Linked DNA regions of Styela clava. The main gene of each other region encodes a partner of the protein of the gene in region 3 in a complex. Links are inferred from orthologs where the notes say so. Each region holds a gene or a part of one and is shown on either strand. Other genes may lie near its edges. The genes, in order: integrator complex subunit 2-like, integrator complex subunit 7-like, integrator complex subunit 1-like and integrator complex subunit 12-like.

Evidence for each region.
Region 1: the proteins of integrator complex subunit 1-like (region 3) and integrator complex subunit 2-like are in contact, whole or in part, in a cryo-EM structure (PDB 8RC4), measured with the Homo sapiens proteins. The link is inferred for Styela clava from reciprocal best matches to the Homo sapiens genes INTS1 and INTS2. Residues at the interface, in NP_001073922.2 of Homo sapiens: Gly561, Ile562, Ala563, Trp564, Asp565, Lys566, Gly567, Ser982, His1055, Met1056, Thr1058, Pro1060, Glu1095, Arg1096, Thr1098, Ile1099, His1102, Leu1107, Arg1225, Ser1250, Phe1251, Gly1252, Ile1253, Tyr1285, His1288, Glu1291, Val1292, Gln1293, Glu1295, Arg1296; in NP_065799.2 of Homo sapiens: Pro40, Leu54, Lys69, Leu72, Arg73, Leu75, Ser76, Gly77, Val78, Glu79, Val81, Asn82, Val85, Gly125, Thr127, Leu128, Glu131, His132, Glu166, Val172, Tyr173, Glu176, Arg322, Gln325, Gln326, Arg329, Gly400, Lys402, Thr769, Met772.
Region 2: the proteins of integrator complex subunit 1-like (region 3) and integrator complex subunit 7-like are in contact, whole or in part, in a cryo-EM structure (PDB 8RC4), measured with the Homo sapiens proteins. The link is inferred for Styela clava from reciprocal best matches to the Homo sapiens genes INTS1 and INTS7. Residues at the interface, in NP_001073922.2 of Homo sapiens: Leu1378, Gln1381, Gln1382, Gly1385, Gln1386, Ala1389, His1429, Phe1430, Leu1431, Cys1433, Pro1434, Arg1437, Gln1438, Cys1440, Gln1441, Pro1476, Ala1479, Gln1480, Met1483, Leu1484, Gln1487, Arg1552, Pro1554, His1555, Leu1556, Glu1557, Glu1558, Pro1613, Ser1614, Gly1616; in NP_056249.1 of Homo sapiens: His150, Asp151, Leu187, Ala188, Thr189, Pro190, Val191, Lys194, Thr223, Ser224, Tyr225, Pro226, Ser227, Thr228, Asn262, Asp263, Pro264, Arg265, Lys266, Pro303, Tyr304, Gln349, Glu350, Cys352, Tyr353, His354, Asn355, Arg357, Ala360, Gln384.
Region 4: integrator complex subunit 1-like (region 3) and integrator complex subunit 12-like share a complex: the UniProt entries of both Homo sapiens proteins name them as parts of the integrator complex. The link is inferred for Styela clava from reciprocal best matches to the Homo sapiens genes INTS1 and INTS12.

Annotation. Positions count from the first base shown.
Region 1 is NC_135252.1:11,598,762-11,606,302, forward strand, and holds the start of integrator complex subunit 2-like, read left to right. Parts: upstream 1-4,515; 5' UTR 4,516-4,600; coding exon 4,601-4,749; intron 4,750-5,089; coding exon 5,090-5,218; intron 5,219-6,069; coding exon 6,070-6,221; intron 6,222-6,418; coding exon 6,419-6,535; intron 6,536-7,176; coding exon 7,177-7,259; intron 7,260-7,541. Other genes in the region: glycine--tRNA ligase-like, read right to left, coding at 1-43, 295-496, 622-789, 1,715-1,879. UniProt on the Homo sapiens protein: Component of the integrator complex, a multiprotein complex that terminates RNA polymerase II (Pol II) transcription in the promoter-proximal region of genes.
Region 2 is NC_135253.1:7,957,971-7,964,887, forward strand, and holds the start of integrator complex subunit 7-like, read left to right. Parts: upstream 1-3,899; 5' UTR 3,900-4,045; coding exon 4,046-4,100; intron 4,101-5,234; coding exon 5,235-5,364; intron 5,365-5,883; coding exon 5,884-6,030; intron 6,031-6,751; coding exon 6,752-6,917. Other genes in the region: transcription termination factor 2-like, read right to left, coding at 1-32, 891-980, 1,219-2,361; BLOC-1-related complex subunit 6-like, read right to left, coding at 2,911-3,258. UniProt on the Homo sapiens protein: Component of the integrator complex, a multiprotein complex that terminates RNA polymerase II (Pol II) transcription in the promoter-proximal region of genes.
Region 3 is NC_135257.1:9,680,821-9,687,677, reverse strand, and holds the start of integrator complex subunit 1-like, read left to right. Parts: upstream 1-3,832; 5' UTR 3,833-3,878; coding exon 3,879-6,857. UniProt on the Homo sapiens protein: Component of the integrator complex, a multiprotein complex that terminates RNA polymerase II (Pol II) transcription in the promoter-proximal region of genes.
Region 4 is NC_135253.1:23,033,404-23,040,416, reverse strand, and holds integrator complex subunit 12-like, read left to right. Parts: upstream 1-4,763; 5' UTR 4,764-4,831; coding exon 4,832-5,962; 3' UTR 5,963-6,491; downstream 6,492-7,013. Other genes in the region: osteoclast-stimulating factor 1-like, read left to right, coding at 6,548-6,715. UniProt on the Homo sapiens protein: Component of the integrator complex, a multiprotein complex that terminates RNA polymerase II (Pol II) transcription in the promoter-proximal region of genes.

The DNA.
Region 1 (7,541 bases), on a different chromosome or scaffold from region 3:
AACATGCAACCCACTGGCCCAAAATCATATAATCCGCTGACACCTAGATTAAATAAAATGGTGGAAAACCAAGAAATATATTGTTCTGCAATGCAGATATAATGATATGATATCCAATGTACTTGGGTGGCATTTCCAATGTATAACATATTATTGCTAATTAATAAAGATAGATATATCAAATCATGATATGAAACATTAAACTAGAACAGAACATAGCATTTAAGCACAATAAACTTCAGCACAGAAAAAAAGCACTGTGTCCAAATTCATTTCGATTAAATTCATACAAACCCCCATATAATTCAAATGCTTGTCCATAAAAGAATCTTCTTTTGATAGTATCATCAAAAACTTTTCTTGGAAACTGTTCTTTGGATGCAAGTTCATTTTCCTTTTCTTGAAGTTTTCTCTTTCGTACTTTCAACTCTGCGATAGCTTGTTGTAAATCAACAACAGCAGCATTGCTTTCTTTTAGTGATCGAACAATGTCACCCTGTAAAACAATGCTTTAATATGATAAATATAATACCAATCCTCACTAAAATATGGTTCAAAAAGTACATGATTCAAAACCAAACACTTAAAACACACAGTGAAAAGAAGAGGAGTTGAACAGACCTGCTCTTTGACTGAGAGTCGCAGTGGTTGCATTTGTTTTTCCATTTCAATTTCATCCATTGTTTCGTTTATGTCTGGAGACAAATGTTTTATTAAATTCTTTCGATAAATCTCTTGTTCTTTTAATCTTAGTTGCAGTTCAGCTTCTTTTAATTTTTTCTTCGGAACCTGATTGAAAAAATATAATAATAAAGCATACCAATCAAAACATTATACTGGAATAGTGTTCAAGTACGGACATATAACTGTATAATTCACGTCCAAATCAGTGAATTGTCAGACAAATAGGAGAAATTAGAATACGCCGTTTAAAACTATGTTTTCAACGAGACTATTAAACTTTTTAAATCTGCAATCTGATGCTATTAAAAATTCAGCAATTAGGATTAGGGAAGTTGAAAATCCTATTGCCATCTAGGGCTTCTTGTCTGGTTACAAAGTCCTGAAGTCCATGGATGTTCGGTATGAGAATCACAATTATTATCAGAGTAACTCCCACGGGGTAATCAGAGGTGTGATGGAAAGCGTATTCCTAATGCTTACAGGCTTAGCACAACGCAATTACAGAATCCAGGAATCAGTGAACCAAATGAAGTTGTAAGGTTAGCATACGGTACTTCAATCTATATGTTTCGAAGAATCAACAACTTTTAACAAAATTTTAGGTGAATAAACACACGGCACTGTCTTTAACAACTGAACAATACATTTCTGTGAGAAAAAAACTTTTTTATTCTGTTTACTCTTCTGTAATTCAGTACCTAAATCAGGTTGGATAATATTTTATATTGCCTGGTATTTATGTCAGTATGCTGATTATGGAGTAAAAATAAAATTATACCTGCCCTATAGCATAGATAGACTACTATTTGATATTACAGTAGGTATTATTGAAATCAGGAAATTAACAAAATATGGCAAGGTTCGAAGGTACGGTACCGTACGGCAGTACGGTCTGACGGTAGGTATTTTGCAAACTTATCTGCTTAGTTCAGTAGTTCGTTATTGCAGTATTGCCTACTGTCTGACTGTTATAGCTAATTAGACAGTTATTTTGTATAAAGACAGTATAACAAAATAAAACGGGTCTCACCCGAGCAGTTGGGGACGCAAAATATCTTTCCCAATTCAACAGTAGCGAATTCCGTTGCTGATTTTTACGCAGCAAACAATTTTGTAAATTAGTTGCTGGACCAAATTTCAAACCCTTCGCCAAATCTTTTAAGTTCACGGAAAAAAATGTTCTTCTAATATTCATACAAACGCTAAAAATCAGCACAATTAGAATGACATGCAACGCAGTTTACAGAAAAAAGTCGTCGTAGTATTTTTTTTTTTTTTTTTTTTTTTTAATGGGATAATATAATAAATTATAACAAAAAGTATATAACCATTCGAGCAATCATAAGATAAATAATCCAATATTCATTTTTCATATGTCCATTCCATCAGTGTTTGAGGTGTTGATCGCATCGGCATACAATTCATCAATTTTTAGTATATTGAGTTAGATTATGTACAATAAACGTAAAAAATTAAATATATATTAGACATGTTCATTTTAATATATACTAAATTTATACACACTAGATTTATAGTTCAAATACAATTCCTTAGTATTTCAAATTCTCTGACAAAATTTAGTGATTTTCTATTTTTTTCAATGTTGAGTCTGTAAGTGATTGCAGTTTTTATTTGTTTGATAACTAGGTGCTGATTAGGGGGATTACCTTCGAATATAACAGAATTTCTTTGTATCCATATTTTATATCTAGTGATTGAAATTAAATAAACAATAATATCTAAATCTCGTCTTGTAATGTTGGAATGTAACAAATAGCTTAAATCCAATGAAACACAAGTTTCATAATTTTTCAAAAGCCTGGCATTATTTAATTTCCTTACAGTATTTTCCATAAAATCAAAAACATAATCGAAATATTCACAATTCATAAATAGATGGCTAACAAATTCTGGTTCTTTTCCACATAACACACACATATCATTTCCTGCTATATTTCTTATTCCAGGTTTTGTTTTTACTGGTAAAATATCCCACATTAACTTGAAATTAAAGGTTTTCATATAGTTTGCCAGAATATTATTATGAATATTCTCACATGCAATATTTAAATTACAATTGCGTAGAAAAATTAATCTGTCCCCATTCATAGAAATAACAATTTTTTTATAAATAGTTTTATGCATATCTTCTTTTATATCTGTACTACTTATGTTATGCTTTCTTAAAAATTCTAATATTAATCTATACTCACTTTGAGGACAAAATCTATGTAAACATGTATTTTTAGTTCTAATCCCCCAAAATGTACTAAGTTGTTGTCCAATATTGTATTCAACAAAGGACATACAAATATGATTGTAATCCTCATTATAATCACATTCTCTAGCTTTATAATAATCCAAGACACTAATTATGTACATGCACATTGTAAAAATGGGTATGTTAATAATATCATAACCCCCCAAATTTTTTGGTTTGCACAAATTATTTGTTATGGGTTAATCAAGATCGGGCCGACGTTACTCCGACAATACGACGCGGACGCGAACGAAATGAATGATGAAATAACTAGTAAAGCGTAACAAAACATTGCACGTGTCGTTCCGCACTGGCCAGTACGACATGCAGGGTTATATTAAACTTTATAAATACGCTTTCTAATACTGTACCGGTAGTGTAATTCACTTTTCTGTTCATCGGTCGAGAGTCGCAGTCAAGTCTGACCGTGGTAATTTCACCTACAAAACTGTGAAATGAAAACTCGCAGCATATATAAACGCAAGACAATATGCTCAGAAATAATCAAACGGTAGCCGATATTCTTCGTGATTAAAACTTAAAATAAGTATTTGCTTGTCCTTCAGACGTCTATATTTCATATTTGGGGTTTCGCGAAGTAAACGCCGTAAGCCCGCAACTGCATAAAGATCACCAAACACAAATGTGGTGTGAAAAAGAATGCTAGGCTATAAGTGATTTAATAACGCCAATCAAAAAAAATAGGATGTGAAAACACCATCCAAATTTTCATTTTTTAAAATAAATGTGTCTCTAAACTGCATGGGACATAGCTGCTTGGCTGGAAATTGAGTAGATTTGATTTGAACTAAACCAACGCCTATTTCAATAATTTTTTTTCTGCGTCATGCGCCCCTTTTTCTTAAGACTTTTGAGAGATCAACAAATTCTGCATGCCATATCCTGCATATCACTTAAGACGCTAAGCTAGGCTACTTGACTTTGCTTGTCAATAGTAAACCGCGAAAAACTCATCATGGACGAATTACGCCAAAATTAAATTTAACTCTGATTACCCCAATCAACCAGATTGACTAATTTTTTGTGTGTTTGAACTTTTTGTTTGTCAACAGGGTCTCCCAAGCGTCACTTCAAGCTGAATACTTTTTTTTATCACATTAAAATTCACATATTTTTGTTTGTTTGGCTTTATTTGAACAGTCACAGCGTTTACTTCACTAAACCCCATATTTGTGTGTGTGTTTTATTATGTAACACAGGTTTTAAATAAAACAGTTTATGATATGCCCATCTAAATTATGGTATTTTTATTCGCAGACTTCTTGATACAGTTGCTGGGTTTACAGGTTTAGTGTAGTTAAGCCATGCTTGTAATTCGATAGCATATAATTTACTCGAAAGTTGTCAAACACTACACTAACTTGAACCCCCTAAACATCTACTGGCATAATTTATTATATTGCAAACTAACACACATTTGGATTCCCATCTTATCCAACTTATCGAGTACGGTACATATGAAAGAGTCTGAGAGTGGTGCTATGAGCCTCTTATACATTAACAAGACAACAGTTTTCAATAACATAAAACAGAATAATAAGCATTTAAATTTGAAGCAACCTTTATATTTATTTAGATTTACATAGAAGATAGTGTAGTTTTCATATGTGCATTTTAGAAGAAAAATAAAAAATCATGCTCGCCAATATAGCTCCTGAAATATTGGAAGCATATGCAAATCTTGACATTAATACGTTATTACAAAATCCTGCTTCATCCATCAGACCTTTGCTACCTTCTCTCAGTCGCATGCTGTTGTGTTCTTCATTGGACAAAACATGGAGGTAAAATATGAAGATGTGAATATATTTTTTCAAATTTGTTTATTCGAGAAATTTATAAAAATGCTCGAATATTCATTCCCATCTTACTCTCTATTTGGTTTTTAGTATAAATATCGATTATTGAGAAATTGCTGTTCAAATGCAATAATAATTTGAATTGTCTTTCGGCATTCGCATGTATTGTTATATACAAGTAAAAACGCAAATAGCTTATCTAAATTGAAATCGTTGTTAGGCATATATCGTATGTATCTTTGCTTATAGTTCATAAAACATTCTAATTGTGATATTATCTAACACTGAGTTCGTTAAAAATTCATTTCAATATTTTTTATTTTAGATGGGAAGAAAATCAGAAAGATCTAATGCAGTTATTATCAGGAATAGAAGATGTCAATGACATTGTCGCTCTGTTATCTGTTGATTTTCATGCTTTAGAAATTGATGCTAAAACAGAACAAAAAACAAGGTGTTTATTCTTCTATTTTTTATGCATATGTTTACATTTCAACCATCACAATCACCAAACATTGAGATTAACCTCATTACTTTGTTTCAAGAATTTTAAACTCAACTTTGTGTTACTGTTAGTAAGATTGCCATTTGTAAAATTTCTACTAGTCTCATAACTGGGTCTGGGCATTTTCGAATACTGTATCTGATGATTTCAAAATCAAATTTCGATTACTTCGAAAATATGAAATCTATCACTCAGACAGTTCGATGAGTGTTCACGCACAAGAAACATGCCTCATCAATAACTTACTCAGGTGAAAAGAGTCATATGTCACAATTGTGTTTTAAAAATATGGCACAATAAATAAAAAAATGAATGATTCATCTTATTCTTTGGGTGGACACAAACAAGATGCCGACGATTCACAATTCTCGCCTGAACCGATTCAAATAATTTACTATTCCATTTGAATACTCAATTTAAAATGCCTAGTTCTACGCATAACCAATCATTATCGTTCTTCATGTATAAAAATATAGTGGGAGTGGAATATTTTCATGCTAGTTTTCTCAAAGTCAATTTGCAATCGAGTTGGAAATAGAAATATTTGCATAACTATCATTAAATACAACTGTAATATTTTGCACAAGTAACTTTGACTAATACAAGAAAAGTTTCTTTAAGCTTTTGGCATGCACGATTAAATTATGGTATAAGAATAATTCGAAGCTTTTTATATATGCTTAACTTTGAATACTACCTTTCGAAAATTTTGACATCAGTGTGATTCAGTGTGTAATTTATGATACAGGCCTATCTAAGATTTTCAAGAAAGGCATAACTTCTGTTAATTTGTTTTATAGGCAAAAAATTACAACTGGAGGCAGAAGTGTAATTACATCCAATCTCCAAAAACATGGTCTCATCTTAGAATTTGAAAGAAGTGAACCTGCTCGAAAATTGCGTTTACTGATTTCAGATATCATGCCATTGCTGGTTGCATTTTCAAATTCAGGTTACAAGATTATAATAAAACTATCAGAATGATTTGAATTTTTGCTGCTATGCCTGATGCACTACGTCTAACCTTTTCCTTAATTAATAGAAAACTTCATTGCCTAATATGAAATTTGTATCATAGTTATATATATTGTAGTTATTACGGTAAATACAAATTTGATAATTTTATGGTGCCATATTTCTTCTAAACAGGTGAAGGATCAAAATCCTTAGTCTTAGATGATGATGGATTTGCTACAAAATCTGAATTATTTAGTTGTATTGCTTATCTTCAAGTTGTTTCTGATGTTCTTTGTATTGCAGTCGCAGGTAAAATAAGAAACAAGCGATATTTGGGTGCTAAAGTTCTCAACTTTCTGTAAATTTGATTTTATTGTTGATGTTGTAAACTTTGTTAAACCTTGTTATAGATGTTGCAACTTGCAATGGTCATACTGATTGTGTATACCATATTCCCGTATGAATAAAGTTTAACATAGCTTTATTGGACACGTTTAGTGGACATAACGATCGTTTCAATATTATGTTGTTGTTGTTCTTGTTCTTTGACACGTTTTTAAAAGTCGCTTTTCTCTTCGAATACTGGACCAATTGCTTTGAAATTTTCAGTGGTTAAAGATTAATTTTTTCGCTAGAAGGCTATTACTTTTATTTATTTCAAAATTTTGCGTGAATTCTATGAAATTTGATATTTCGTCTAAAATTTTGCTGTATTATTTTTTATCCATGGGAACACGGATTTTAGTCAGTGTCATGACTGGCTGTACGTTTTGATTCTGCAAAATTCTTGCTACTGGAAATTCAGAACTTTTTTGAGGGTACCGGTAGCGTCAAAGGTACCGGTAAGGACTGATTCGCTCTGGTCTAACGTGTCCATATATTTGTGCGTAGCTCTCTTGTCTCTAATATGAAGTGAAATTTTTAGCAAAGTATTTATTTCTGTTTGTTAGAATTGCCAACATTATTAAATATATTGGACATGGCAGAAGCACTGATGTATGTTCCCAATGGAGGAAAGGTTTTATGTAAATTGGTAAGATCACTTTTGATATTTCCATCAGCTATGGTTATTTGAACTCTGTCAAAATCTTTGCCTTTCAGTATCGTTTATTATATGCAGGACATTCAAGATAATTATAATGCAATTCCAGATTTCTAAACCTACTTGTCAGATAAGTAAGCTGTATGTGTATCACATCAACTACACCTATAACTTCCTGTATTTTTGGTGCTTCCATGTGAATTTGAATGTGAACGTTAAGTGTACATGTGATTCTTGAATTATCAAGTGAGGCATGCAATACGACTGACTTAG
Region 2 (6,917 bases), on a different chromosome or scaffold from region 3:
AGTGCTTGTCGTTGATGGGTCATTAATGTTACCTGTAGAGAAACAGGGTTTATTTCAGTATATGTGCAATATACGTTTTGGTTCACCGTTCATGGTTATAATTTATGGTACTCCTGAAGTATGCGCACCAAGATGTCGCACAACCTGAACCCTAACCTGGTACACAACCTGAGTTCAGGTTGTGGGCCATCTTGGTGCGTATACTTCAGGAGGTCCTGATTTATTTTAACCGTTGACTGACATCTTGGGTACAAATCCTCTTTATAATGTACTATTTTTTAAAAATGATTACGTCATCGCAAATTTATCTTCTGCGGCATTTTAATTCAAAAAAATATTGCTGATTATGAAAATTTGACAATGATAAATTCAGAATCAGTTTTCGGTCGAAGTAGCCTATATTATAGTTCACAATTTTATTGCAAAATCATATAGGCCTACTTAATGTCATCCAACAAGTGTGCAGGTAATGCTGTTTTTCTTATGGTATCTCAAAATAGAATTTGCACATCAAACACTGAAAATTTGTCACATAAATAACATTTAATAATGGAATCGGGTTTTACTAAAATACTTCCATATGTGCAAAGCATGCTGCATATCATTTTGCAGAAGAGCAATCATGAAACTATCTCGCTTCATGAATAATTTTGATTGATACTGGGATAAGACCACCTGAAATTACTTTGCAGCCATTGTGACGTAACAAGTTAATATTATAAATTATTATGTCAAACGTCATGCTGAGGTGTTTCCCTGAAATTCCCAGCCCTAGCGTTTACACAAAACTGCATTTTCTTACTCAATCTTAGAAGATGACCAAGTATCAAGAAATGTTTTTATATGGACCACACTTGCATACATCTTTTGATGGAATTCATTTATCTAACCTTCAGGCCTTCAGGATCATCCAGTTCTCCTGTGGGTTCAGGTCTCGTTTCCAGAGACTTGTGAAGGTCCTCAATTGCAGCCTTTGTTATCTGGGAATAATAATAATAATCATGAAACTCATTTCAATATTTGGTTATATCTCGGATACTAAATAGTAAATACTACCCAAAATTAGGGTATGAATAATTTTAAACATTTAGGCAATAAAAATGCTGACCAGCTGACTGAATGAAAAACGATAATAAAAAGCTAAGCTTTTAAATTTTAGATTACAATATGAAATATTCTCAAGAAGATTAGAAGTACAACTATGGTATAATATATTACCTGACGGACTTCAGTCAGACGAGCACTTGTCATTCTTCCTCCATATAACGGACCATCGTTAAATTGCATTGGACCCATATCATATGCACTAAGATCTAATTTTCCTGTTCTCGCCCCAAATGGTTCCGCTTTTGGGAACGTAAGTTTTGTTTGAGTAAGTTTCCTATCAGGAGCAGAGTTAAAAGCCATAGGAGGTGCTATCATTACAGCACCTTGAGCATCAGGCTTTCTTGAATATGACTCTAACCATGGTCGTGTATGCTTAGGCATTGCATCAGCGTTTGAAAGAGGTAGTTGATTCTCTTTGTCAATGAGTTTTGAAGGAGTTGAATCATGACTTTTATCTTTATTTTTGCTTTTCATGGATAATTTTTGCAGTTCAAGTTCCAAATTGTTTATTTCATCTTTCAGTCTTCTACCACCATCTGGAAGTTTATCTAGTTTTAAACTGCGAAAAAGTGTTTTTTTCTTACCAATGTTCTCTTTCAGTCTCACAACTTCAGGATCCTCTAGTCTTGGGGCCATTCCAGCAGAATTAGGCCCAGTGGCAGAGACTACAATTGGCCCTTTCCTCATTGCAGGAACAACGCATGGGGGACCAACACGAATTTTTCCTGAGCTTAAATCTATAGGCTTCGGTTTTGGTCTCCGTTCGTGCTTTTCTCTGTACAAATTTTTTTCAACTATTTCACCATGTTTCGAAGAAACCTCTTTTTTACCGTGAACTTTGACATCATGAGGATGTGGGATCGAAACGAATGCTCCGGAGTTACCATTACTATACGTGCCATGTTGGTGTTTATCATGCTTGTGAGGTTGTTTCCTGCTATCCTGGTTCTGCATTTGATGATTTCGTTCAAGTCTTGTAACTGCTTCTGCTCTAAAATCCAGTTTACTATCACGACCAATGTGTTCTTTAACATCGAAGCAAAATTTATCACCCCTCGATATTCCTGATGTAATACCACAATTTCGCATTGTCGTCATATGAAAAAATACATTATCGTGATTAGGGACCGAAAAAAATCCATATCCTTTATCTTCTTTATAAACTGTGACAGTTCCACAATATCTTGTTCCTACAGTCAAAGCCTTACGATTGTGGGAATGATCGTTTGAATTACTGGAACTTACCTCGGCCATTAGGAATATAATACAATACTGAAACTGAGATCAAAGCATTGTCAGATGTAAAACCAAATTAATATTTTTAATATTATTCGAAGTTAAATAAATAGATTAATAATCAGGCTCAACCCTAAATAATCAAACAAAGCAAAAACAAATTCAAACCATCGAAAATAAATAATAAAACTTAGGTAAAACAATAAAATGCATAATTCTGTCCTAACACTTGCATAGAAATTACAAATTAGTTAATATTACTTGTTGAAATCTGCAAATAGAAATGCCTATTAAAAATGGCTTTGATGTAATATAACACTTGAATAGACATGTTTCATTTGATTAAATATATAAGCAGTATATCAGTACAGCAGTATATTATTGTATTTCACAATTCATAACAATAATGTAAAATTTGGAATTTTTTGAAATAAAAAAAAAATTTGAATGTCAAAACAAAATGATTCTATATTTATTATTTTATATTAAGAATTAGTTATTATTACTTTATCGAAGACTCATAAACTAATACATAAGATTCCTAGTCTGAATAAAAAAAAACTGTAATCATGGTATTTGAGCAACTTGAGCTTCTAGCATCAGCAGAGAATTTTGAATTTTTTTGATGCTTTGACCAACTTTATACACAGGAACCATTGCTTTATCAAGTTCCTCACAATGAGCAATCAGCATGTACATCGATTTCATTGAGTCATCAATCTCAACTCCCATAGCTTCAATTGCACTGCTATATGTTTGTGAATTAGCCACAGTAATTGCTGATGTCTCGTGTAGTTTATTAGTCAGTTTCTTAACTATATTGCCAAGGCTGTTAGAGAGTTTTTCTGTTTGCCGTTCAAGATCATCCAGTACAGTGCTATCAATCGCAGGAAAGTCATCATTCAAACCAGACATATTGCAACATTGGTTTGTTACAGTAGCCTACTGAAGTACCAAACAAATATGTATATACTGAAATAATCTGCAACTATTGAACAGACACAGCTGGCATTACTCTATTACAGTTTTACATCACATATTCAGATATTATTGTGAACTGGAACAGATATGAATTATTCATTGCACAAAAGTTTGTTCTAAGACTTTTCAATTTCTTACAATATTTTTACATCACCAATCATAGGCAGAGAGCTGCCCTGTACAATGTGCTTCAGTGACAAATTTATGCATTGCAGCAAACTATGCAATCATACTTTTGCTATCCATATTCAAATACAGAAATAGGCTATATCCTCGTGATAATTTTAACTTAGCACATATCCCAGTATCCTGATATCGCGTTTCAAATGCAGAGAGTGTACCAAAAAAATCCGGAAGTTTATGGACGACGATGTCACAGAATAATAATAATATGTCGACGATAATGAACCCCAAATCACTGAATTATGCTCAACATAACCATGCCAAGGATTCCTCCCCAAGTGTATTACGGTACGTATTACAGTATTATGGAATACGCAAACCGAATTCCCCCGCGAAGAGAACGATCACCCTTTTTTTCTCTTTCAATTATAACACGTGATTTCACGATACCTGCACGCATGACTTCACTCAAGACGATTGCTCGTGGCGAGAGGATCTACTTAGCACATCGCATTTCGCTAGCCATTCTGTAAACAGGCTTCCTCTTTTCCTTTGAATATTTTGGCGTCTGCCTATCATTACAAATCATAAGTCAATCATGATGGACGAACAAAATCAAGATGCCAACTCGGCGCTCATGGAACTTGATAAAGGTAAGCCTGCTTGTAATAATCTACTCTTAGGTCAGTAGTACAATGAATACAACATATGAACAAATAAATAACATAAAATAATTTATTTGAACTCGCCATCGTACAAAAAATGGCATAATAAGGTTTTAACATGGCATAAAAGTAAAATTCTATTGTTAATATATTTGCCTACTGTTTGTATGCTTACGTTTTGGATTGTTTTGATTTATGTTTATGTAACAAAATAGAATAATGGATACATAACATGGGCAATCTCACTTGTGACTGTATGACCATTTACACAATATTGAAAATAGTATATATATCAGTATATCAGTACCGGGTATATCAGTATATGGAGTTATTTTACTTGTTTCTGTGCAAAAATAGTCTGTTCCTACTGTCCTATATTAGCAATTCACTGGCAGACTGGTAAGTGTAAAGAGTTAGATATAGGATAGGATTTACTTATTTATCCTGGGGGAGAGCAAAGTCAATAAAACGGCTTAATCCATTGATGAACCACAGCCTCCCGTTCGGTTACCAGTCCATGTCGAATATGGGATTAGTCAGTCAGGTATTCGTTTTTCGATGCATGAACTTGATGGTGGAGGAAGCTGTACCGACCACCATTCCATCCCCCGCAAGATTCGAACCTGAGAATCCACGCAGAGCAATCAGAGCATATCAGTAATGCTTAGCACGAAGCGCCACACCGCCGAGCCATGAATTTTTGCTATCTTTTAATTTATGTAACATAACATATGGTGTGGCAAGTAATTTTTATTTATTTATTTTTTATTAACTACCAGTATGTAATTTTTCATGTTCCCTTTACTTAATAACTTCTATATGGTTGTGTGTGTGGGTGCGTGTGAGCGTGTGTGAAATATTTCAATTATTTTAGGTGAGTGAACACGTACCACATCTTCTTGGCAAAACCTTCCATCTTATATACATTCTGTACGTTTTAAACCTTATCTAAGGTTTTGTTCGCTCTCCTGATTTCATAATCAGTTTTTATTTATTTATTTTTAGCATTCATTTTATTGTTTTGCTGATTATGGAGTCGAAATAAACTTATACTTATACTTATATAACAGTACCACAGTATCCTGATATTCAAATATTATTTTATTCAATATTCTTTCAAAGGTCTTCGTGCTCAAAAAGTTGGCCAGCAATGTGAAGCAATTGTTCGATTTCCTGGATTATTTGAGAGATTTCCATTCCCAATTCTTATCAACTCTGCATTCTTGAAGCTGGCAGATGTGTTTCGTGTTGGGTAAACATCAGATTCCTTATCAGAAATGAATATTTCTTAAAAATAAATTTGGTTAAGGCTATAGACTAATTGTGTTAGTAAAAACGGTAGCGTAAAGCAGCCTTTTTTATTAATGATGATCAAGCATTTGAAGTAATGAAAATAGGTATGCACTGATACAGTCATGAAGAATTATGAAATGTGTAGCAATTTTATTTGACATGTGTAAATCAACATATGTATTTATATATATAGGCCTACTATAACTGAATCTCTTCATATATTTCCCTCAAGCATCGTATTTTGATACTTGATGTTAGATGAAGCGCAGTCAATCTATTGTCGTATTCAGGTTTTCAGTTTGAATCTTGATTAATAAAACATTAGGGTTTTTATCATTTCTCTAAAAGCATATTTGTCACGAAGTAGGTACAGTTTTTGTTAGTTCGAACAAATCGCAGCGATCATTTTTATGTATATACTTATGGATAGAAATTCTCGGTTTTTAAACATCGACAAACTGACAAATTATTTTTTCAGGAATAATTTTCTTCGTCTTTGTATACTTCGAGTGTCTCAGCAAAGCAATAAACATCTTGATAAAATTCTCAACATAACAGAATTTAGAAGAAGAATTTCTGTAGTTATTCATAGCAATGATCCATATGCAAGAGCAATAACTTTAAGGTTGGTTTTCTAAAAATGAGTTCCTCAACCTTGTTCTACCAGACCGACTATCGCATACAATCTCAATATTTTTTTTTTGTTCATTTTTGTTGCAATTAGGATCTTAATCTATTCATTGTGAACCATTAGTAGGCCTATTTCGAAAGCTGGATCAATACAATTATATTCCTTACCAAATGTATTTCATCATGCTAACTACTTATATTTCACTACTCATTTTTTATTTTATTTAATATGATGCTCACACACTTTGTTCGCTCTTAGCAAGGCTCTTTACGAGCTGCCACTGATCTCTAACAATATTTGGGAGGACCGGGATCTTTCTGACTTGTAATTGCCTGATCAATTACCAGTGGCGTAGCCAGAGGGGTGGTTTTGCGGGTCGAAACCCCCCTTTTGAAATGTAAAAAAAATAAAATCTTTTTTCTGTATCATAGATAGCAATTTTTCGTAGCTTTAAATGCTTTTTAGACCCTCAAGACTAATAAAAACACGCGTATTCTAGAGTCGATTAGTCCCGCTAGCTGTTTCGATCTAACTTGCCAAATAAAAATTTCAGAACCCCCCCCATGAAAATTTCTGGCTACACCCCTGTTAATCACCCTGGTGGACCCCTGTCAATCACCCTGGTGTAGATGTGTGTGTGCGTGGGGGGTGAGATGAGATTTGAATTAGCCAATTTCAATTACCGGTAGCTGTTAATGACTTGGTAATTTTTCAGGATGCTGGGCAGTATTGCTTGTATAATAAGTGATGAAAAAAGTGTTCACCACAGTATAAGACAAGGTTTGGATTCGCATGATCGTGTTGAGCAGGAAGCTGCAATATATGCAACTATTCAATTTGCTTCACATTCGGGGGAATTTGCTACAAGTATTTGCAATAAG
Region 3 (6,857 bases):
CCATCAAACTCATGTTGGAGACTTCATTGAGGTTTTCAATTCATTTTTTTCTCAACTATGAAGATCTTTTGAGGTTAACGAGGCATTAATAAATAAAGCTGAGGAATTTGTTTGTTCACTGTATGAAGAGGATATGAAGAATGTAAATGATACCAGGGCACGTCTATTTAACACTGGCAAACATAAGGATTATACTCCTCCAACCAACAATGATTCACTGAAGAAGCATGTGGCTCTCAAATCAGTTCTTGAGTTGGCAAACTGCAAGTGTAAGAAAAATAGTCAAAATAATTTATGCAAGTGTGCCAAAATCAACTTAAATTGGACAGATTTTTGTTTTTGTATTGACTGCAAAAATCACAGTACACTTATAGAGGAAAAGTCGATTTTCCTGTTTCTAGAAATAATATTGCCTTTGTTCAAATACATAACCACATAAACTAAAAAAAGACTGATTGTAATATTTCTGTTCACTATGTTATGTACATATTGTACATTAATTTTCTTGACTTTTCCGGTAAATTTCTAAGTGAGAAATAACTGATTTATTTGTGTTTTCGTGCTCACGATGTTAATTTGTGACTTCATTGCTTAAAAATAAATACGTTTAATAGCTTCTATAAAATGGATGTAGCTTTTTATGCTGTTCTTGTTGTAAACTGCTTGTGGTTATTACATAAAATTTATTTGCTAATGTGAATCAGCGTTGTTGGTGTCGTTGCTTTCGATGTCACTCGCGACTCCTGTCACACAATTACAGTATTTTTTGTTGTTGGTTACATGTATACCATATTTTTCGTAATCTACCTAATAAATTATGATTGACTGAGGAAGTCCGATTTTGGTCAGGCAAAACATTACAGGAATACATTTGTGTTAGTGTGCTGTAGGGCTCTCGAATTGCATAGTTCTTATGTATGTGTTGTAAACTTATGGTTATTGAATTTCCGGGAACCTCTTATATTCAATTTCGCATCAGGATTGTGGAACAAGCTGTAATGCGTTCAGTATGTTCATTTTCACACAAAACTGAAGAATTTATTTAGTTACCAGATGTGCGCTACGAAACTCATTTTCTGGGCGTTTTCAAGCCTTCGTCTCACGGCCCATATCCGTGGTAAGGATCTACAAGTGTTTAATAACTTACTCATACATTTTTCAACAACGTCTTAGCATAACTTAACCAATAATAACTAAACAGGGCTATGAAAAGGCTGCCCAACTCAACGCAAGGTCGAGCAGTAATAACTAATATTCATCCGCTCGCTAACAGCTGATTCGATTCAATTGTTACGTCATGCAGAAGTCATTGTTCATTGCCGAAAATGTAGAGAATATAGGACAGATCGTAGCACATATTTCTTGTAGTAAAAGCGTCTTTTCCGTAAAACGTGCAACTTTTGGAAGTGGGAACAAGGCAATATTTGTTACTAAATTTTTAAGGAACATTTTAAAATCATCTTCAGGTAGTTACCTGATGTGCGCTACGAAACTCACTTTCTAGGCGTTTTTCAGGGCCTCGGCTCACGGCCTAATATTTATTACGCTCACAGTTAAAGTTAAAATAAAAAAATTATATAAAACAAAAACTGAAAATTTAACTGGCTTCAAAAACATAATTAAATAATTCCATATTGGCGCTGGAATTAAATTTGGCAAAAAAAAAAAAAAAAAAGATCTATAACAACCGCTTATCGGTAATTAAAAATGTAGTTATATTATATCATGGAGCATCATATGAATTTATAGAGCCATCTAGCCGAGCAGTTTTGGGCTACGAGGATGGCATAGCACCAGACCTAATGTTGTGTATAGGTGGGATATCAGAAAATGATTAGAAATATGTGCAGAATGATAAGACATGAAATATATATAAAACAGTGTATTAATTTGACAGGAGAGACCAAGATATTGGTTAATACATCCGGAAAAACCTAATATGCACTACAATCTAATTGTAGGGCCAAAAAAGCCAGTTTCTAACCATTGCTGCAGCCTGCATGAACCGCAATTAAAGAGTGGCGAGTGGGGGTATATATCCAGATATCAGAATGCAGCAAGTAAGTTTTATGATAACAGAATAAAAAATGATTTAACAATTGGATCACTAGTCTACACCTACACGTTAACAAGTTATGTATATCAATTTCATTTGAGACAAACCAAGAATTTATAAATAAAAATTTACTGGTTGTTATAATAAAATGGTACCGGTATTGTGATTCCCATTCAGCGGCCATGCTTTGTTAACTATAATATATGACATACTGACATATAATACAAAAATTCACAATATGAAATTCTCTCACATCTAATTAGTAATATGGATTAAGAATACCTGAATACTGGATTGTATAACTGTATAATGAAATTCATTTAAGTTTTACCTTCAGAATAACCCAGTTAGCCCTGTTCATTAACCACAGAAGAGCATAATATCTACTTATTTGAAATATGCACAATGGGGCAGTAAACTGCTATCTACTTGTGCAATAATTACTAGGTTGCAGTCATACACATGTCTGCATGTATGTATACATCTCAGGAATGTCAAAGCCACTATGTAAATATGTGTGATACCACGCATGAAGAGCATATACCAGTATGTATTGATAAATCTTGGTTTGGAAAGAAGAATCGATGCTCGGGGAAACATCTGCTCATTGTAAATGTTAGTATCTAAAAGGGTTGACGGGGGTCGGGTATCAAAAGGGTGAATTCTATGTCGTTATGTTATGTAACAACAGAACAATGTATTTATAGTAGACCATGCAGGCAAAATTTGATAAAAATTGATTACCATTACAGCTTAGATAAGATATTTTTGCTCCTCACGGTCAGATGGTAGCTGTATAGTACAAAAATATTACAATACAAACTGTGAGAGGACAAACATAAAAGACAAAAAACAGGAAAGTTTAAACATTCAAATCAAACTTCATGTTTAACACATAAGATTGTGAAATTTCTTATAGAGAGGGAATATATCATTTCAGCATTTGCCAAACCAATGAGACATAGGCTGTTATACAGATGGTTTATATTTTATATGCAACATATAAAAATAAGAAATAAAAATGAGAGGCATTGATACGACATTTTTGGATCATGTCATCACTCATCAGAGTCAGTTTCCACCCAATACAAATATAAAAGTGATTGGACAGGTACCTCTCGTCTCATGTTTGTTTACTATATATTGTTTACCTGATAGGCTACAGATATACAAAATGCACTTGTCTTTCCTACTTTTTTTAAAATTTGGGGTAGTTTCAAGTCTAATTTAAAATTTTATGAATTATGTATATCATTCATATATAATCAGATACACAAGTACAATAATATCCTATAATAGGTGTGTTCCCCCGTGTTCTGTGAAGGAGACCTTTAGGTGTTTCGCGTCAAATTGTTGTTTCACATTTTTAGATTGGCATATTATCGGTATATGATAACACATACCGTAATCAATTGTACAGTGGTTCCTTGTGCCTCTGGAATATTTCATTGGGGTCATTCTTGACCAAGAAGAATAAAAACCCCTGAGGTAATCCCTAATCGAGCCTTGGGCTAGTGGTAATACATTTATATAAGTGAAAAACACCATGTGATGGCTTCAAGCTAATCAGCACTGTGGGACATGCAGGAGTAGTGAAAATACAAAGAAAAAAATATGCACATATCTTTTGCTCCTACATTGTCTTCATAACCAAGCTAATATATCAGGAATGTGGTAATAGCATATTTCTTAACTACTTTTTTTTTTTGTTTGCTATGTTTTTTTGTTTGTTACAGCATGCTAAAATTTATTATTCAACCTCATTTTCACAGATAATAGTTGAATCTTAGTATATTATACCTGGTCTGTCTGTCTAACAATCATGAAACGGACTACCAGCGGGCCTCCTAAGAGACTTCGTCCAGGGCCACCTGCGGATTTAATTGCACTTGGAAAAAGCAAAACTGAACTTCAGAGAGCAGCCCCTGAACCAAGCCTACCGTCGATAAAGAAGGTATCTACATTCCACACCATAGCCGCAGCAACGTCTTCTCACCAATCTCGTATGTCACCCACTATTCCTGAACCGTCTGTCAAATACATTGATGCTGCTGCCCAAGATTTACTAAAGAAAGTTACAGAGGCCAAAGATCAGGAAACGGTTGATGGATTAGTTTGTGGGGCAATTCGTGTTTTACGAGCAAACAGACTCCGGCCTGATCAGGTAATTGTGTATACATTGATGGTTTTGGCAAAAAAACAGCCCTCTATTTTTACCAGTGAAATGGTAGTTGAATGTCTAGTGGGACTTCTTAAAAAAGATGTCGGATTGGAATATATTAAATCGAAAGGGAATAGCATTTCTGCTGTGCTCGCTTGCAATCTTCTCTTTGCAGGATTTGAGCAGAACTATAGCTGGCCTTCACTCTTGGTAAAAGTTTTCATTGAAGACTCATTGAGTGATCGAATATGGGTTGATCATCCCAAGTGTAAAAAATTTGTATCCAGTGTTAGTACCGCTTTTGACACCGTTCGGATTTCAAAAGAACATAAAGTTGATACTGGAGAAGATGTGGATATGAAGGAAAAAGATGAATCTTCTGAAGATGAAAAAAATGTTTCTAAGCGTTTCATGGCTTCAGCAGAACTTGTACGACTTTATGCAATAGATATGGTTCGAGAGAGAGTTAATCGCAGACAGGGCACTATTTCTGCACAGGACCCAACAGGTGCTGCTTCAGGTCGTCATTTGATCAAAACATTAATTGCAATGTGTGGAATATCGGAGATACGTGTTATAGCTGCTCATAAACTGGAAATGTGGTCTCAAAATCCTAAGCTAGCAAAATCTACACAAGACCTACTTATGTCGATATGTGTTAACTGCCGAGATCATAATCAGGATGATGTTGATGTTATATCTTGCTTGGTTAAAATGCGTCTCAAAACCAAGGCACTTCTAAATCATTATATTCAGTGTTTAAAAATTTTGATAGATGCTCATAAGGATTCAATCAATACATTGTTCAGCTACATTATTTATAATGAATTATCCAGTGCCAGGAATCCTACAAACATGTCTGTTATAGCTGCTCTTCTACAACATAAGCCCAAAATTGCTGCAGAAACTTTGGCAATAGTTTGCCAAGATCTTCTACTTCAAAAAGAAGATTATTTAAGAGCCGTTCGTGCACTTGTTAGGGAAATAGTAAGAATTGCAAAGCATGATGTACAGTTTACTTCATTTGCCCTTGGTATAATGAAAGAGCCAGATCGTGAAAAGTTCATGCATTTGGATCAGGCTCATAAAGAGAGATTTGTTTCTTCCACTGCTGATTTAGTATGTCTTCTGATGTTAGTAAGTATCTCTCCGACAGTAAAAGAGGCAATTGGGGTTATTACGAAAAAGGCCACCCCCACATCAGAAGTTGATCATGATACTATTTTTCATGGCCATAAATTGGATTTAGCTGCAATGCAACGAGATGCTGTTTGGTGGTTACATGCCACTGCAGTTCCCCTTCTTTTACCTAAAATTACAACACCGGATTTGGGACAGCATATTCACAAACTGCTTTTTCTGAAGTCCGCTGAAACCTACTACATGAAGGATAACTGGCCACCTGAATCTGAAAGAGCAATGATGGTAAAACACTGTGCGGAAGTTCCATTACTGGAAGACACAATCATGCGACTGGCTGTCATTGGCCTTTCACACGAACATCCAATCGCTCCGGCAGAGACTCTTGAGCTTATTGGTCAATTAGTTCACAGAGCTGGTGCTTTGGCGAAACCACATTTCAACCCTATTCCAGTCGAGAGAAGGGATGTCATTGACACATTGTTATCTCTCGCTCAATATCATCATCCTGAAAATATCCATCTTCCCTCTGACTATGTGCCACCGTCTTTAGCAATTTCTCTGCTGTATTGGTCAATTTGGCAAACTTTGCTTATTATTTCTTCTTTTAATCCCAGCTCTATAGGTCTTCAGGCGTGGAATGAATATCCAATTCTTAGAAGTTTCATGGAGATGGCAATCATAAACAATTTCACATTTCCACTGGCAACAGTAGTTGATGAAAATGAGAGATCACAAATTGTGAATAAAGAAATGCAAATGGTGGAGATGGAGAAAAATGAAATTATTGAGTTTGAATCACATTTGGCAGCAGCCACCACACATCTTGCTGTAACAGAGGAGACAAGTTTGTTGCTTTCTCAACTTATTGCTATGGACACAAAAGGCCCACCTCGTCGACCACCTGAACATATACTAAACAAGACTCGATTGATATGTAGTCAGATTCAAGTTGGAGCCGGTTTATGCAGATCTAGAAATCCAGATTTCTTATTATACATCATTAATAGACACGGAGAAGACCAGGCAATGCCATGGTTGTCTAGTCTGGTTGGCTCTGCCAAAGGAGATATGAGTATGCTTCCAGTACAATGCCTTTGTGAATATCTCATGGCGAGCAGTGTTGATGATAGCAAAGCAGAAAACAAGCTAATACAAGAGAAAGAAATTGTCGCTCAACTTCAAAATTCATTACGAAATCAACAAACTGAAGAATCCTGGCAACCAATAAACTATTTTTTACGCAGGCTACATTCCCCACAATATGAAACAAGACTGAGAGCAAAGCATGCTCTATCTCTCGTTCTGAGGGATGAGGACATGGATACCAATGAACCAAAAATATGCCATGTACAACCTGTTCTAGAAGACTATGAGTGGCTGCTATATCAACTTGTGTCCCTACCTAACTACAACTTTGTTCATTCAAAAGCAGTTGATGCAATTACTGAGACAATTAAATGGGATAGTGATGAAAGTATGGTCACAGCTTGTTTAGCT
Region 4 (7,013 bases), on a different chromosome or scaffold from region 3:
AATAACTGCATTTATGGAAAATGAGTCGCTGGAAGCGCCAAGAGATTTCCGTGCTGGCCACAACGCTAGGTCAGGCCGGCCAAAAGGGTTGCTGGATTTCTCCTCGTCGCAGTGCGGTTCGCATACACGTGACCACAATGCAGATTTCCCCACTTGTCATTACCCACCTAGCACTTTTACCAACCGACAAACTATTTAGCTATTATCATATGATTAACAACTCAAGTTCAAACAAAGGTTTTCTACATTTATCTTTTACATCCAACGTTGGTTTCTGGCAAGTTTATATCCCTAACAAATCTTTACGTGTTTCGTGAGACATAGTGTAAAAACATATCGATTCAGCGATCCATACCCTGTCTCCATCTTTTCACACCGGAACCTGGGATATGGACGTGCCATAAACTGACTATTGTACATATTGTCGTTGTGTCGTACCTCTTTGTCTTGTGTATTTTTTTTTATTTGTATAGTCAATTTTATGTCTGTTGTCCTAGTATAACGCAGCAGTCCTAAACTGCTGTTATAATTGCTAGGGGTACATGTCGTACATCTGTGTCTTGGGCCAATAAGGTAATAAGGTCTTGAACATGTATCCCGTCTCTGTTTTACTGTTTAATTATTAGGCAGATACTGTTACATTTTTGAGGCAAATAAAACATACATACCGTGTTTCCCTGAAAATAAGACAGTGTCTTATTTTAATTTTATTTCGAAAAATACCACTAGGGCTTATTTTCTGGGGATGTCTTATAATTTTATTTATCAAAAACAAAATTAGAAAGTACAAAATTAGGATATTTTCAAATATAAAAATATTAAAACTGATATCCATTACTTAATGACACGTTTTTCTCTCTCACACGTTTTAGATTAATCATTTATAACGTATGGGAGAGATTTCTTGCTATCGACCAGGTAAAAAAAATTTGCGGTATTGAATAGGTCCTATTTTAAGGGGAGGGCTTATATTAAAATCATTCCTAAAATTCAGGCTAGGTTAGGGTTACCATATTTGAAGAAGCAAAATTCCGGACAGTGCATGACTATGTCGGCAATGTCGCACAACCTTAGTCCTAACCGGTACACAAAAACTATGTTCAGGTTGTGCGCCATCTTGGTGCGCATACTTCTTTCTGGAGGTCCCTATTTTCATGAGACCATATATATGCGCTACCGAAATGCTAAGCCTGCAAACGTTGTACGATACTCATGCTAACGTTGTACGATACTCATGCTAAAGCGCCAGCTACCGAAATGAAAAGTATTGTCTTCAGTCACAAGCAGAATCTCACACCAGGCAGGTAAGCACACTCTAAATATAGCTACGGGCCGTCGACTGAAAAAATCTCAACTTCAGAGTGAAAAATAAGAATGAGAATTAGATTGTGCCGAAACGGAAGAACAGCACTTACATGCTTAAAACAAATTAAAGACAATCACTACAAATTTACTCTTCTGACCATGCATATTTTTCTGAAGATCTAATTCTCTTCTTGTCTGATTTCAAAAATGAAAACAATTCACTACAGTGCATATCTTTGAAATTATATTGGAGAGTCAACATGCCTTTTATAGTCGCAACTTGTTTCTCTCTTTAGTCCACTGACTTTGCATCAGTGAAAAGACTCTCTCTACATTGACATTGTGGAATGTAACAGCAAAGAAAAACAGTTCAATCCTTAAAATTTCGGAGTGGCATGTGATGTTCGTAGACTGATCGAAATATTTGCACCATTTCTTATGCGTTGGCAGTTTAATAAATTCTTCGTCTTGTAGGTAACTTTCCACAAACTGCTTCAAGTTACAGAATTGGTCAAAGCATTTATCATCGTCCACATCAACCCGTTTACTATTTTATTACTATATCAGATGTTCCAGGCAAGGCTTTACATCAGGGGTCGGCAACTTTTTGTCGCTCGCGGGCCAAAACCAAAGGTTGCAAGTCATTGGCGGGCCTCATATTTTTAGAATGTTGAAAACCGAACGGATAGCCGATGAATCACACTTTTTTCACACAGATCAGAAGTTAAATTTAGAGCAGCGCACGAAGACTGACCATTTGAATATTTTCTGCACCATCAAACCATTTGCGCTAAGCATCAACTTTTCTGCGTTTTGTTGCCATTTGTGTAATTATAATTAAATTATAGGGTCATTAAACGCGCAATTGTGAGTTATAACATACTTTAGCCTACGCGTGTCGCAAAATTAATTCTGTTACGTAAAGAATATAATCGTTAAAACAGCTGTTTTGTTACTATAATCCAGTGAAGCGTCGCGGGCCGGATTATATTGCTCTGCGTACCGGATCTGGCCCGCGGGCCGTAGGATGCCAACCCCTGCTTTACATCCTTCCAACTTGGTATCTCGTTCAAGGTTATCCATTTGAAACAAGTAAACTCTTCCATTGGTTTCATCCATTTGCACAGGTATTCCAAGCATCTCTCATAGACGTTTACAACTTTAACACCATTGATAAGGAAAACGCTCTGTTATATTAAAATTCCATACAACCTCGTAGTAAAAATATGCGCACGGTACGAAATAACAATGTTCTGTATTAGCAGTGTGCACATTACGATTGCAGATGCAGTAAAATTCCGGACATTTGAGCATTTTTCAAAATTCCTCCCGGACGCAAATTTTAACCCTAAATTCCGGACATGTCCGGAATTTTCCGGACGGTATGGCAACCCTAGGCTAGGTATTATTTTCAGGGTAGATTCGGGGAAACACGGTACATACATATCCCGACTGATAAACCGAAGCATTGTTTCTCCAAATGATCCAATAATAGTATCATCTTTCTTTCTCTTTTTTGGATAAAATATGAAAACTGCACGTTTGCCAACATGTATATTTGTATATCTTTTTTTCAGCTGAAAAACAAACTGTACATATAAATCGTTGGGTTGAATGCTTGTTGCTGTTGTTTAAATAAAACGCTTCTTTTTCGACTTCCTTTGTATAACTTGTACTCATATATTTCAGTACACTTGTTGACGGTATCGTTACCGAAGCGCGAATTTCGTGTCCGTATATTTGAACATTGCTTTCTTGTGCATTTAGTTACTTATGCGCGATGTATTTTTCATGACATATTTGTATCTGCCAGTGTGTATTGAACAAACACTACCGTGGGAAGAGTCTACCTCTTTATATCACCCCTACTTGCGGTATGCGATTTAATAATGCATTCGAGTTATTTCGATGAAAAAAATGACCAGTGAAGGTATTTAAGTTGCTTCAACTTTAATGAACTATTCGTCTGCGGGCGCAAATGTCCGTAGCTGTCGAACCACATAAAGAAGTGGTAAGGTATCATAAACTCATTTTTTACGTGCAATTGTATTTATGTGTTATCGTGTGTATAAAAAGTGATGTTTTTAATAAGAAAAAATTAAAAAAAAATGTCCGTAGCTGTAAAGGTGCAAATAGGATAGGATAGGATTTACATATTTATCCCGGGGGAGAGGAAAGCCGATAAGACGGCTTATCCATATGGCGAACCATGGCCTCTCGTCCGGTTACCATTCCAAGTCGTTACCGGTATAACCGGTAATTAAATAGACAAGTAATAGCAATAACATCAAGAACATAACTATCAACTATTCGTAACTTTTTCCTATACGAATAAGCACTTAAGCGTAAAATATATTTTGGTCAACAAATAGCCTACAGCCGGCAAAATTATATTCGCGCAAAAGTTCATTCTCGAATTTTTTTTTCCGCGCCTTTTCTGGAAAATATTATTCTCGCAAACAGTTTTCTCACAAAGTGAAAGTAGATCAGATTTTTGTTGTTTTGGCTGTCGTCAATTTTATCAGCTGGGGCATTTCTATTAAAAATATTCGTTCATATTTCGAGCCACAATATGTCGAGGGTTAGAATCGGTGAACCGTATTTATTAATTTGTGTGAAATGTCTAGTTTTTTTTTTTTTTTAAGAAGATTACATACGGTGGTACCGGTAGATGGAAAATGTAGAAATCACCTATGGCATGATACCGTACTGCCGTAGGTGTTTTTCTGATTATTTATCTAATTCTTTAAAAAAAAATTGTTTTTCATAAAAATGCTAATGATGGATAAATTGACTATTTATATTGTATATTATATAAGTGATGATAATGGAAATTATAGTCTATGTCTTAATGGTTACTGCATCACATGGAACCCCATGCTATTTACATTACAAAATAAAATTTGGGCCTCATGCAATAAAATTGAAATATATATTTGGATAAACCAAAACTATAATTTTCATAAAAATCCAATTTGGCAATGGATTTGAATTTGGCAAAAAAAAAAAAGGATCGGTGAATAGTACGATACCGGTACCTGTATGACTTTTAGATCTAGGTACGGTACTTCAGTCTTCAGTACTTCAAATTTCTGGTAAAAGAGAAACATAAGACAACTTAATGCTGGAATGTCTTAATACTGTAATACAGTGAATGACAGAATGTTGGGCACATGCTGACATGGTCTGTTTGGTGTTGTTCTACAGTTCCAACTAACCGTCTAAGTGTTAGTCTAACAAGGTAGCGGTAGGTATGAAATGAGAAAGTTCCTGATACTTTGTCAAGCTCTCCTTCACATGCGTGAAATGATGACGTCGTCAACTGCTGAACTGCAACACTTTCCTGTTTCGTGTTATGCCTCTCTCTATCCTCCTGATCTTACGCTCTGAACTTTCCTCAGTCTTTTGAGTTTTAACTCTTATTTTTTTAGAATGGCATTCCTAATTGATAAAATTCTCTATTTTGTTGTTGTATTACAGTATCAAATATAACTAGCTCTAATTTTGTCTTAAAGTCTAATTGATAATGGCTGTTGCAACAAATGAGTTAGATCCCATGTTTGTGAAAGCACTCGATTATTTGTGGTCGAAAAGCCCAGATTCAACGGCAAAATTGAAACGAATGCTCGATGATGCCATTGAGCAAAGTTTAAAAAAAAAACAAGACGTTAAATCAAATATAGACAAATCGTTAAATGTGAAAACTGGGAAACATTCAGTGAAAATTGTGAAAACACATGACACAAAGAAGAAGGAAAAAGATTCAGCCCAGAAACGACAATTTGAAAAAATACAAAAAGATTTGTTAGAACTTGATCAAGAGGTCTCGAAAAAGTCTCGTCTCGATAGCCAGTCACCAGCATTTTTATCGAACGACAAATTTAGAAGTGGGAACGAGTCGAAACGGTCACCTTTGGCATCAGATGATAAAGATTATGCCATTGAGATGGACGAGCTTGCATGCGTCGTTTGTAAAGGCTTCTCTAATGATAAAGGAAATACGATTGAATGCCAGGAATGCCATAATTGGTATCATCGCGATTGCCATCAGCCACCGATAAGTGAAGACGCAAATGATCCTCGTTGTTTATGGAATTGCTCAGTTTGTACGAAGAAAGTTGCAAAACAGATTAGTTCGAAGCCTTCTACTGTCGCCAGACCTAATCTGGTTCGAGATAATTCTTTCGAACCAAAAAATAAATCAGCTTTTGTAACGCCTTTTAAGCGGAATGAAATAAAATCGACTTTACAGTCATCTGGAAATGGATCAGTTGGGGGGTCGTTATCTGGATGGGCTGCTTTGAGTGGAAAAACAATTCCCCAACCATCAGCGACAACAAAACAAGTAAAACCTACTACATCTGGGGTTCTATCTTCTAAAGAAAAGCGTGATAAATCTACTAAAATGCCAAAAGTTGGGCCCAAACTTGCTGTATCGGATGCATTTGCCGAAGCTCTTGGAGCTGATTTACCGACAGGAATGGCGAGTTCGTCAAAATCAAGTTCACATAAGTCAAATCCATCGTCATGGATTTCTACTTCTAAATCTTCAATGTTTCCTAAAGCGGCAGCAACCACTAGTCTCGCCAGTGCGGAGAAAAGATTCCAAAACATGAAGAAAAAAGCGAAGTTAAATTCAAAGAAATCGAAGATATGATTTTTTATTCATGACTTCGCAATATTACAGTAATGACTCGGTGATTGGCGAAACAAGACTCTATAATTCATTATAGCCCCAGTAGTTCTCGACTTCCTGGTGGTTGCCCAGGACTCCACTCAGATATCTTTGATTTATGAGTGATTACATGTGAACTTGCTTTGAGCGAATTTCCATTCAAAAAAATTCTGGTGCTAACAAAACAGTAATTGGAAGACTTAAAATAAAATTGTTCTGAGCTTTTCATTTTCAATAACATAACATAGGACTTTACTTGAAAAACTAATTCAAAACTAATCTGCTAACTATCCCAAATTTTTGGTTTCTTTGTGTTTACTGTTTAGATATTTGTTATAGGTTCAAAATGATGTTATAATGTATATGGTTGGTTGTATTGTGAATTTTTCTTGGGAATGACAACTGTAGTCCCAATGAAAGCGCCAAGCCTGTTTTAAAATTCATCAAAAACTCTACATGTTATGTACTTTTGTTATTAAATTTCAAATGCCTAATTTTCTGCTTTTTCCAGGTTCAATTAAATAACAATAGTCTTATAAACTAATTAACCCCTAAACGACCACAAAAATGTCTTCGAAATCAAGGCCACCCCCTCCCAGGCTAGCTCCAAAACCAGGAATGGTAAAGACATTTCGAGCTCTGTATCCTTATGAAGCGCAACAGAAAGATGAGTTGTCAATTGATGAAGGGGACATTATTTATGTGACTGACCAAAGTGATAGCAACTGGTGGAAGGTAGGTGATGAAATTGGTTAATGATGTGTAACTGGTCGGAATAATAGTGGTTGGAGGTAATAGAGCATGACTGGCCGGAATATTTGTAACTGATTTATGTGACTGATCAAAGTGATTGCAACTGGTAAAAGAAGATAGGTGAGGGAAGCTATCCCTGGCTGTCCAAAAAAATTGGAAATTATTTGGATACATTTCAAATACCAATATTCAATATAGTGAATTTTTGATGGCAGGAATAATTCAGAACAACAGAGAAATAATTTTCTTTATATTTATGTTGTTTCAGATACGATCAACA